Drosophila melanogaster: one gene and its partner. The gene in region 1 interacts genetically with each later gene. Each region holds a gene or a part of one and is shown on either strand. Other genes may lie near its edges.

The links. Genes that interact genetically often act in the same process or in processes that back each other up.
Region 2: of Eip75B (region 1) and Hr51, changing one suppresses a phenotype caused by changing the other (phenotypic suppression), as found in Drosophila melanogaster (one study listed by BioGRID).

The regions. Positions count from the first base shown.
Region 1 is NT_037436.4:18,061,168-18,066,931, forward strand, and holds the start of Eip75B (Ecdysone-induced protein 75B), read right to left. Parts: upstream 3,530-5,764; 5' UTR 3,344-3,529; intron 287-3,343; exon of another isoform or gene 1-286. UniProt on the Drosophila melanogaster protein: Implicated in the regulation of ecdysone-triggered gene hierarchies. Probably plays a key role in mediating the regulation of the larval molt by 20-OH-ecdysone.
Region 2 is NT_033778.4:15,329,099-15,334,530, reverse strand, and holds the start of Hr51 (hormone receptor 51), read right to left. Parts: upstream 3,207-5,432; 5' UTR 2,931-3,206; coding exon 2,885-2,930; intron 955-2,884; coding exon 564-954; intron 1-563.

The DNA of each region.
Region 1 (5,764 bases):
ATTTCGTAGGAATCGCACAGCTGTTTTAGCGATATCTCCGATTTTCTGACATTAATGCTAGCAAACTTCTCTCCTCTTTTTCGTATATCGTATGGCCAACAGCTGAGGGTCGAATTCGAGTGGGTGGTCGGTAGCAACAGCTGGGCGCACGGGAAGGTCGTTTTCAGGGCGGAGTTGCTGTAGCAGCGGATATTTTTGGAGGACTGCGGTTCAAGAACAAGGACGAAGACGAGGTCGCGGCCGAAGGGGGCGGAACAGGACAGGATAGGACCCAAGCAGCTGTTCGGCCTGCACAAGGACAAGGACGCTCACGAGGCGCTACGGATACGATACGAGCACGATACACGGACACGGTTACGGCCACGGCCACGGCTCAATGTGGAAAACACTTGGCGCCCTTGACAATGGGCTATCGCTTATATAAGGGACCTTGGCGAGCTCCCATAATTATTGCACATTTCCCCGATTTATTGACACTATATGTATATTTATTATAATATTTTTCAATATATTTTTTCCTTATATTTTCACTCTCTGCTCGGCCAGTGGGGCTTTGTTTATTTGCTAGAATCGCGACAGGTTGGAATATATTCGCAACCGTTGCGTTGGCCGTACTTTCTCTGACTGAAACAGCAAAAGCTCTGAAAGCCAGAACAGAACCAGAAAAGAGCGACAAAAAAGCGAGTCGGTTCTCGCGCAAAAAGCTGCACAATGAAAGTGAAAACCGTATGAAAAATGAGAGAATCCGACTGCAAAGATGGGAAGAATTCGAAAGCGAGAGGCTCGGAGAGAGAGAGCGACTGCGTACGAGGAAGCTGAGGTGAAGAATACGAAAAGCAAAACATAAATAAACAAAAATAAACGCGAATGAGCCAGCCAAAAGAGAAGAACGCACACGGATTTTTCTAAACTTTTTTTTTGCGATGGGGGTTAACAAAATTTGGACTGGGGCAGTTTCAAGGGGGAGTTTTTGGAGTTTTTTGTGGCTAAGGGTTGATTATTCGGGGGTTGCTCGCTTCCCATTTGGGGTTTCACTTGACGGGACTCAACTTCCGTGTTTCAGTGCGTATGAGTAATGTGCGTGTGGAGAGATTTTCGTGGGGTTGCGCTTTTCGGTTGGTCTGGGCTACACTGGGTTATTTTCTCTGGGTAAGGGCAGGGTTACGCATTGAGGTAGGTTCGGGGTCTGCTCGTAATTGATGAATGGAGCTGTATTGCCAAAAAAGGGAATATTGCGCATAAAATTAAATTAGTTTGGGTTGGGGCTTGGCCTTTTATGTTTTGTTGAAAGTTTTTGAATGTTCATCCTGTAAAAAGTGACTACAAACATTTTATCTGAACATAAATTTATAAAAACAAAGGCTGTTCTACTTTAGTCTTGTTACAGATAACTTTAATTTAATAAATTTATCATTTTCATTATCACTAAGCATCAAAAGTTTAATACTTAATAAGAAGTATTATCAACATCGCTTACTTTCACCTGTCTATAACACGAAATCAGAGCAATCATCTGGCATTGGCGAAACAAATGCATATTTTTTCCAAGCGCCATGAGATGATGCCTCATGCCCCACAATTCCCTGTCTATTCGATGGCGGCCATATAGCGGAAGTTTCCGCAAACGTCAGTGGGGGAGACCTCCAGAAAAATGTACGGAGATACAAACGCTAGGCGCCGAATAAACCGCTATTTGCAAACGAGCAAAGGCGATGACACTCGGCGTGCAAGTGTGTGCACTCGCGTGTGCATGACAACATTCAATAGCAGCGTAATCAACAAACAAAATGCAACCTCACGAGCTGCAACCATTTGACAGAGTGTATATGTTGAACAGGCTTTTAAAATATAACAATTTATTTTAATAAAACTTTTAATAAAATGATGCTTTTATTCGAATATTTTGCAATCACATACATAGTTGTGTTTAATTGATTTCAAACATCTTATTTAATTTAAAAAAAATTGGTTAGTAATAATAATTAAATCTATGTTGTTAGCCACAGTAAATTTAAGTGAAAATCAACGTTACGGTTAAATAAAAAATTATACTTTGATTACACATTTTCTTCAAGTGCAAGCCCACACACAGACTACAATCAAAAACGCACACCACAGCACGAGGCGGCAATGTATTGACCTTAACACTGAACGACATCGCACACACTTGCATTGCAAAATAAGAACTTGAAATAGAATAAATCGAGCAAGAGAGCAGTGCAAATAAAAAGAGAGCGCCGAGAGAAATAGAGCACGTGAGTGTATGTGTGTTCAAGTTCACCCACACCAAGGCGAGTCTAACAGGGCGTCTACAGTTGAGCAAGCAGCGCTCTGTTAACGGGCTGCAGATCCCCTGTTAGCTTTCCTCCTCTGTTTTCTTGGGGTCTCTGCATTTCAGCGGAGTTGCCAGGGGGCGTTGGGTGGTGGGGCTGCGTTCTGTTTGCAGGGGGTGTGGCTCGCCTCTAATGAGGGTTGCAACTCCAGACGGAGTTTCATCCGAGTGGAATGAGTCAGACAGCCGGGGAATGGGTCCAAAAAAGGAGCTTATTCAGCAGGAAGGATAAGTGCTTTCGAGTTCGTTTTTTTTGGTCAATAAATTTAACCATCTAATTGAGGACTTAGTTACGCCTGATATCCGAGAGTTAAAGGTCATGCGACCCTTATACATGGTTTTGTGCAATATAAAATGATCACTTTTCTATCTTATGTTTGTCGGTTTTCGTATTGTTCTGTTTAGTTTAGCAACCTGCTTTTAATTTACTTTTAACTTTTAGGCTTTCGATTGTATGAACTGTTAAGTACTTCGCAAACCTTTGTTCAACTATTTCAAATTTTATATTTTTACTTTTTGCTTCGTTTATTATTTTAAAACAATTTGAGAGCATTTCTATGCACATTTTTCGTTCTTGATATTATTTGACCGTTTTTTATGCTTTCATGAGTCACATAATGCTTATACATATGTATATGCTTAACATCGTTCAGTTATGCGCAGTTAAGTGAATTTTGTTGAATGGTTCATGAGTTTAAGCATAAGTTTTCTATTTAAAGATAGATCAGTTTCACAAATCCTATATATAAAGGATTTCTGTTAGTTGAATTATTTTCAATGACGACGAGTGTTAACTTGCACACAATAATATGTTACACCATATTTTTTTATAGATATTTCTGTATTTAATATTGTCACAGCTTAAAATTTTAAACTTTGGCAATTGTTTGCACTATTCTGATTGTGATTGAAAAGACTGTCCTTGTGCTTCCCTTGTTACTTGTGATATTTATATAGCATCGAATTGGCACACAAAACTCACACAACTCTGCCTTAATCCAATTCACGTACAAAGAGTTCACCACTTATTCGGACGCATCACGCAGATACTTTTTGTATCTGCATTCAGAGGATTGCTATTTGTCCCGATCGAATTCTGGTGCTAACAAACGAAAGTTAACCGCCGATTGGTAAGACGATTGCGCAGAAGAGGAAAAGCGCGACAGAGGACGGAACGCGACGGTGACGGTGCGTTCCACATGACGTATTCAAAATGACTGAGACCAGACCGAGACTGGACTGCAAATTTTCGCAAAAGTGAAAAATTCTACTTTCAATATGAAAACGAACTGCGCTGTCGCCGTCGACGCCGACTGCGCTGCCTGGGCGGGAGTTGTGCAGCGGCAGCGCACTGTGGGTGTGGGTAAGGTAGGTCGTGGTATGGGAATGCACAGTGGCTACAGAGAGAGAAAAGGGAGAGCACCATCACCATTACAGAGAGTGATAGAGAGAAAGAGCAGAGCGGAAGGCCGACAGAGCCAGAACCTGCAGCGAATGCAGAGAACAAAGCGGAGCAGAGAAGTCAATGTACAAAGCAGATTGGGGGTGCAATGGACGCCGAACATGGAACTCAGGCGCGGACGTGTACGTCGCCACAGTGGATGCCCGCTAGAAAGAAATCGAAATCATGCTAATTTTTCAGTTTAAGAAATCTGAAATCTTGAAACTTGAAAAATTATTTAAACAATTAAACAACTAAACAAGTTCTTTAGAGCATTATGTTAATTTTTTTTTGGTTTAGCTAAATTAGAAAGAATTTTTTAGAAATTTGCTGATGTTTTCATGTGGAACATATGGAAGGTGTGTGTTGATTTCATCCTTTAATAACCCAAATATATTTTACTACTAGCTTGGAAAAAAATAAAAATCCCTACCAACCTATATTAAAATTTTTAGGAACTCATTAAATGATGAACTATCAATAAAAAGAAATAATAAAATAATCATTATCCAACTAGACAGGCCAAATTAATGATCTCGATATCGCAACATTTCAAGTTGCCCTGTACCGGGCTTTCCAAGCTTATTTCCATGTTTCTGACGTGTACAGTAGTACATATCGTGGTTCCCGCCTGGAGTGACTTGCCCCTTTTGCGTGCTTCTTTTGGGGTTGCAAAGTTTTGGCATTCCGGGAGTTGTCGTAGCACAGAAATTAAAAATAATTGCAAAAAGTCGGCGAGTGGGTGGATTTCTCGGGTTTTCTGATCCTGGTTGTCGGTCCCTGTCTGTCTGGAGTTGCAACCCCTCGGGCAACGAAATGAAAGCAAACTTCAGACTCTTGGACTTGGGGTGTGGAAAGCGAGTGGGTATCAAAGGGCCGCGAAGCAGAAAAGGCGAGAAAGGAGTAAGAGGACAAGCGGTTTCCTAGACACTCGATGGGCTACTTTTTGTTTGGTAAGGTCGGTCCCAGGCAGAGATACTTCCTTTATGAGCTTCGATTTTAGCCAGCATCGGGGGTTGCACTCTTATGGATCTGGCTTTCATTGTCTTTCACGCTGTGGGATAGGTTTGAAGGGAACAGCATCTTGTAACCTTGATTTTCTTATTTGCCATTGTTGTTGACAAGACGGGATTAACTTTCAAGAACTTATCATCACTGTTCCCGGACAGCGTTTCAAGAAAACCCCCCGTGACTACACTATTATAATTTTTTAATAGAAACTCTGAAATTGCATATTGACTATTTTATTTTATGGAATATCGATGCTTATTATTTTAAGTTTTAACGACTGTACAAATAAACTATAGCAAATGTAATTTAACCTTGCAAATACCACTGCAGACATTTGCCAATTCAGGTTCAGTCTTCTGGGGCATTTTGGAACCGAATCTGTCTCCTTGAGGACCTCCAAATGCAACGAGGGCGTTGCATTGAGACACTGGCCCTGGCAGCCCTAATACAATAGTGGTCAAATACCATGGTCAATGACAGCGTCGTGAAATTTGCAACTGGCGACACGTGGCAGGGGCAACCAGACGCCACCCTTGGTCCTTTTAAGAGGATGCCCCCGTCAACCCAATCTGAATCCAGTTAAAAACGTCTCTCTTTCTCTCTCTCTGCATAGAGCGGATGTGCAAAAGCGCATGTTTGCGAGCTGCATCGATGCACTTGCCACACGGCTGCACGAAGGTTAAAAGAGTTTTCAGGGGCACTACGAGACTTACTACTGCTCCATCGGGCGAAGACCAAGGACCAAGGACCAAGGGCAAGGACACGCAGGCATGCGCATTTCCGCATCCGAAGTCGGGTCCTTGGCTCTGGTTCGGTTTCGTATTCGGATCCATGGCTGGAAGTGCCTCATTGCCAAGGTCCCAAGCGTGGGGAAGGCAGTGATGCCCACTATAGACTGATACAAGTTCCTGTATTACCTTATGATGCATATCTAAGCCAAAATTTCAGTATAGTTAAACAACTAGTTCAAATTGCTTAAT
Region 2 (5,432 bases), on another chromosome or scaffold:
TTCCCACGTCAAAAGAAAAAGTTTTAAACGAATTCACTTTAAATTCAATTACATTTTAAGCTGCAATCCAGAGAGAGGGGAGCGAAAGTAAAGTGGCATTCGCACATGATGCCATTCTGGGCACAAAGTCAACGCGAGGGCAAATATGCGCATTCAAAAGTTGACGCTCAAATCCCAAAGATTTGAATAATTGTAATGAATTTGCCGGAGCTCCGTAATCCGCCAGACGAGCCTCCGGGCACAGCGGCCCACACCCATCCCGGCACCACCCACTTTTGGGCAAATGTTGCAACATTTAATGGAAATGAAATGGTAATGACTGGATTTGGGAGCATAGTTAGGGCTACACTGAAATAAAACTGGCACCACACATTTAAAATTCACAAAATGGGAGTGTTTGCAGGGGAGTATCAATATATGTATTAATGGTTTAAATTACTCTTTATGCCTATATGGCATAATTACTTTACTCTCTATATGACGTGTTAAGGAAGTCCTTTTTGTTATTTATAGTTTTTATTTCTAATTTGAGGTCCGCAAAATATCTTTCTGTGTGCACTCACCGATAAATGAGTTTCCGCCGCACGCTGCGTTTGAAGAATCCGGAGCAGCCATTGCAGGCTAGGATTCCGTAGTGCTTTCCCGAGCTGGTGTCGCCGCACACCACGCAGATGAGGCCCAGGTTCTGACCCTTAATCCGGGTCATCGATGAACCCTCCGCCGCCGACGAGTGGTTCATGGAGTTGGCTGCCGCTTGGGCTGCCGCCGCCGCAGCAGCTGCAGCGGCACTGTGATTCCAGCTCAGCAATCGACCATTGGGCACGTTTGGGGCGGCGGGATGAGGGGGCGGTGGCTGTGTGGGCGGGGCCACGCCCGTTGATGTAGGTGGAGGCGCCTGTCCGTGCATCGGCGCCGGCGGCGGAGTGTAGCAATGCCGCTGCGGACTGTGGAGTTCTAAAGTTATGAAGCAGATTAGTGAATGGTATCTAAGAGAATCGAAATTGTATCTTTTTGTTATCTGGGAAGTTACTACGGCTTTATTAAGATCATACAGTTGGGTTTATTAGCTCGTATATAGATCTTAAAATCAACGAATTGTGCAAGTGGTTAAAGCTTAGTTGGCGTTTAAATATTAATAAATATTCAAAATTGTTTATAAAACGGGAAAAATAGTATACATAATGTTTAGCTAATACTAGCAGAATGTAGAAATGTAATGTATAATTCTATACAATTTCCGCACTGTAGCTTAACATTTTTAAACTTAACGCGTAATGATTGTCCTTTAGCTATTCTTTTCATCGGCATATTAAATGATTAATCTCGTTCCAGCATAAGACATTTAAAATTTTCGACCAGACTTAAGACCAGTTTTCCCGGTGGTAATGGGTGGTGCAATAAAAAATCACTTATGCAGTTCATATAAATTAAATCCCAATTTGTCAGTTGTACCGGATTGCGGATGCAAAGGACCTGCCGATCTTATCCCTGCGTGGCGACATTGACGCCCTGTAATCCGCAAATATATTTACACATTCAATTAGGGTGCCATTAAGCCAAACGGCTCTCGACCAGAGCGTGCCGAGCAATCTGTGCGCCAAATTTGCCTCGGGGGACGATTGTTTTGCCATCACACCCTAATTTGATTGTAGTTTCCTTACTGATTTTTTGATGCACTTAACCCTCGACGTTCCAAGGACGAGGCTGAGGACACATTTGTAACACTCGCCACTTGGCTGTGCGCTCGACCATTTGGGTTCGTGGTTCTGGTTTGCGTTTGGGTTTGGGTTTTGCTCCTGCTTGGCATTGGAATGGAAAGACAAAGTCAGGCGGCCATTCAGCCGGGACCAACTGGCAGGACTGCGGTCCAAAGCCGGAGGATTAGCGTCATATGCTTGCATTTTCCGGGGCACCGGGGCATCTTTGTTAATTTTATGGGCTCGTTGAAATTCACTTTGGCGCACACAAAAGTGTTAAGGGCGCCGGGATGGCTGTGTTATGAATTTCTGACATTTTTGGCGGCCTGACTCGGAGTCTAATTCAATTTGGTGATTATCGCAAATTGAATTTGCCTGGCCATTCGTGCATGCCATCAGCAAGTTGGGCATCGATTTGATTTGAGTGTCTCCGCAGACAACTGGTTCCTGCAAATTGGTAATTAAAATTGCCAATGTGATTTCCGAGCAGAGCGATCAGAATCCGCTTGTTTCTTTTCATGTTTTAGTCTGGGCATTTTACAATTGATCCAGTCATTTCAACATATAAAAAGTTATACTTCTTAACATTATATTTAAATTGGTCACACAGCTATAAAATAGATTTTCTATTCAAATCGCTAAACTTATAATTGACGTATAAGAATTCGCTTAAAAAAGGAGTCATATCTGAATATCATAAAATGAATTGTTAAAGTTTTTTTTTTGCTAGGAACTCAATCCTTAAAATGTGTGTTAGTTTTCGATATAACATTATTATTTCGGCACTAATTACAACTCACATTTGAAACAATTTTTTCCGTCGGGTAATTAGAATGAAAAAGCTTAAATTTAATTTATATTACGATGCCAGTCGTTTTTTGTAATCTTTGCTTTCACATCCTTTCCGTTTTTTTCTTTAACATATCACTTTTTTTATTTTCCTATCTTATCCGTCCTAATTAATCGTGGGTGTAAGAAACGTAATTATATTTCACGCACAATTTCCCAACAAACGTGATATTGTCCTTTTTAAAATTTGTTGGTAAAGGAATTTTTAGCCACCATTAGGGCCATCTTGTATATTTATTTTTTTATGTATTTAAGTAAGGAAACCACACCTTTGTGTTTACAGCTTAATAAATATATTTCATCACCATACTCATGTTTTTATTAACACACTAATTTACCTTGAGAAGATGGTCGTGTTTCGGAGGAATTTTCTTCCTTATTCATTTTGTTGAGCTTTGGCGGACTGCGATTAAAGATCACACCTCGTTGAAAAGTTTATTAACAATTGACACTATTTGTAAGAATTTCTAAAACACCACTTTTAAATGGCACTTTTCGGGTTCATCGCAGTAGGCTCCATATTAATTTGCAATCGTGGAGAGGCGACGGCAAGTGGACGGTCCTCTGATTCCCGCTGATGAAACCGAACCAATCCGATCCGACGGCGCTGCGAGTGTGCCGCGATGATGATGTTAACGTCTCGATGTACGATTTCAGATTCCGGATTTCAGATTTATCATAAAAGCGTGACAGGAGCTAAACACTGATGTGTCCACTCCAGCAGTCGGCCAACCAGCCAACGGGCCAACCCCGGACTAGGGGGAAAAAACCATATCGCAGGATATAATCCGCGGTCGCTGAGTGGGCAGAGAAGTCCTTGCCGCGCGCGTGTGTGTGTGAGGACAAAAAGCACGGCATACACTGCACACACACACACATAGGAGCAGGAAGAGCAGAGAGCATCGAGCAGCGAGCAAGGAGCAGCGAGCGAAGGATAACCGCACACCACCCACCCACCAACGGAGACTTTTAGTGGCAACTCTGGTGGCGCATTTGCTTGTTGGCTTGCTTTGATTCGTTCCTTCTTGATGCTGCGGCAGGAGCTTGTCCTCGCTGTTAGTGTTAGTGTGTTGGTGTGCGGCCCTGCGAGTGTGGGTAAGCCAAGCCGCAATCGCAATCTCCAATAAACACCCGGCTCTGCGCTCTCTGCGCACACACACAAGCACACATACCAAGGCACTCGAAAGAGCAGAGAACGCCCGGTCGCCATCATGACTCAAAAAAGCTGAGCGACGGCGGGGAGCGGAAACGGAAGTGGGCGGGAGAGCGGAAGTGGAGCAGAGCAATGGTGGCGCCCCACCAATACAACCATGAAACGAATGACGCAGCTGCGCGGCTGGCGCTCGTATAATCGTCTTGGGTTTTGACATTTTGTTTTTGTTTTATAATACCCTTTGTGATGTCGGCGCTTTCGAGCTTGCGTCGTCCTGCCCCTCGATCCTTTCGCTAACAGTTTGGCCCCCCTCTTGACCCTCTGCCAACGACGTCACTCTTGGCCTCGTATTCTAACCGCCCCCTAAAAGCCCCAACTTCCACCCAGAAATTGCCGCCACCCAGTAAACTGTAATTGAATTGAAGAAGAAAATGTTTCTGCTGGTGTCTGTGGGTGTACTTGGATCTAAATCAAGAATATTTAAGTGCACATATAACCAAAAGAGTTTTAAATTATATATATATTATAATATACATATATTATCCTAATATTATAATTTGTTTGTTTTTAAATATTTTTCTAATTTGATGGGTGATTTTATTTAACTTTAATATCACAATCATGTTTCATTTACCTTCCTGATTTTATTGCAACAATTATATATTTATATATTTAGATATAGATATTTAGATTATTATTTGTACAAGAAATTAAAGTAAGAACCAAGGCTTGTATTAAATTAAGTTTTAACGAATTTTAAGAAGCCTCATAGAACCAGTCATTCAAGTTTGTGAACTGTTCGAGAAAATATGCTGAAGACAGAATATATATGCTCAGAAGTGGGTTTTTATATTTTAAAAAGTATAACCTTAAAATATTTATAATGTCAAACTTAATGTAATGTGTAAAGATGTTCTATCTAATGGTCTACGTAGTCTTATTTATGCATACACATTTTTATTTACTCTCTATACATTATAATTTTATGGATAAGAGAGCCAGAGCTAGAGGTGGTCCCGGGTCCACTAATCCAATAATCGATAAATGCTGCTCGCAGGACCAAAACGGGCGGCATGGGGGCTCCGTTGTGCTCCCCGATTTTGTTGTGGGGCTTTTGCCATGCTTAATGCGCCGACATTAACTTTGTAACAAATGAGATGTCGGAATACAACAGTCAGGATCCTGGCAAGCCACAGCCCCTCCCCGCAGCTCCCTCCCTTGCTCCTTTCACCGCTCCTTTCTGCAATCTCGCTCTCTTCGCGGGGGAGAAAGCTAGAGAGCAGCTGCGGCTGGCAGAAGTTTATGCTCGGGACAAAAGTGAACAAATGCAAAAGTCAAAGCGCTTTGCCAGCATGGCCACGCCCACCACGTCGAGGGAGGAGCGAACGAGAGCGAGATAGAAATACAGAGAGACAGAGCGACGTTATCCTGTAACAGACGTGCACGCAGGATGCCCGTCGGTGTGAGCGAGAGCAATGACATCGTGCGAGCAGGACGAGCAGAGACGACGGGGTTGGTTCTTGACATTTGAACGGCGACATTTCGCATCGCCAGGATACATACACGAATACTCGTACACTCACCCACACCGACAAATCTCTGCGAGTGCCACCCACTGGAGAGGGCGGTGGGTGGCAAGCCCTATCAAGTGCAGTGCACTTTATTTAATCAATCAAAATTCATGGACTGCCTCTTTTATTCAACATTCAGACACTTTGTATCTTTGATTTACG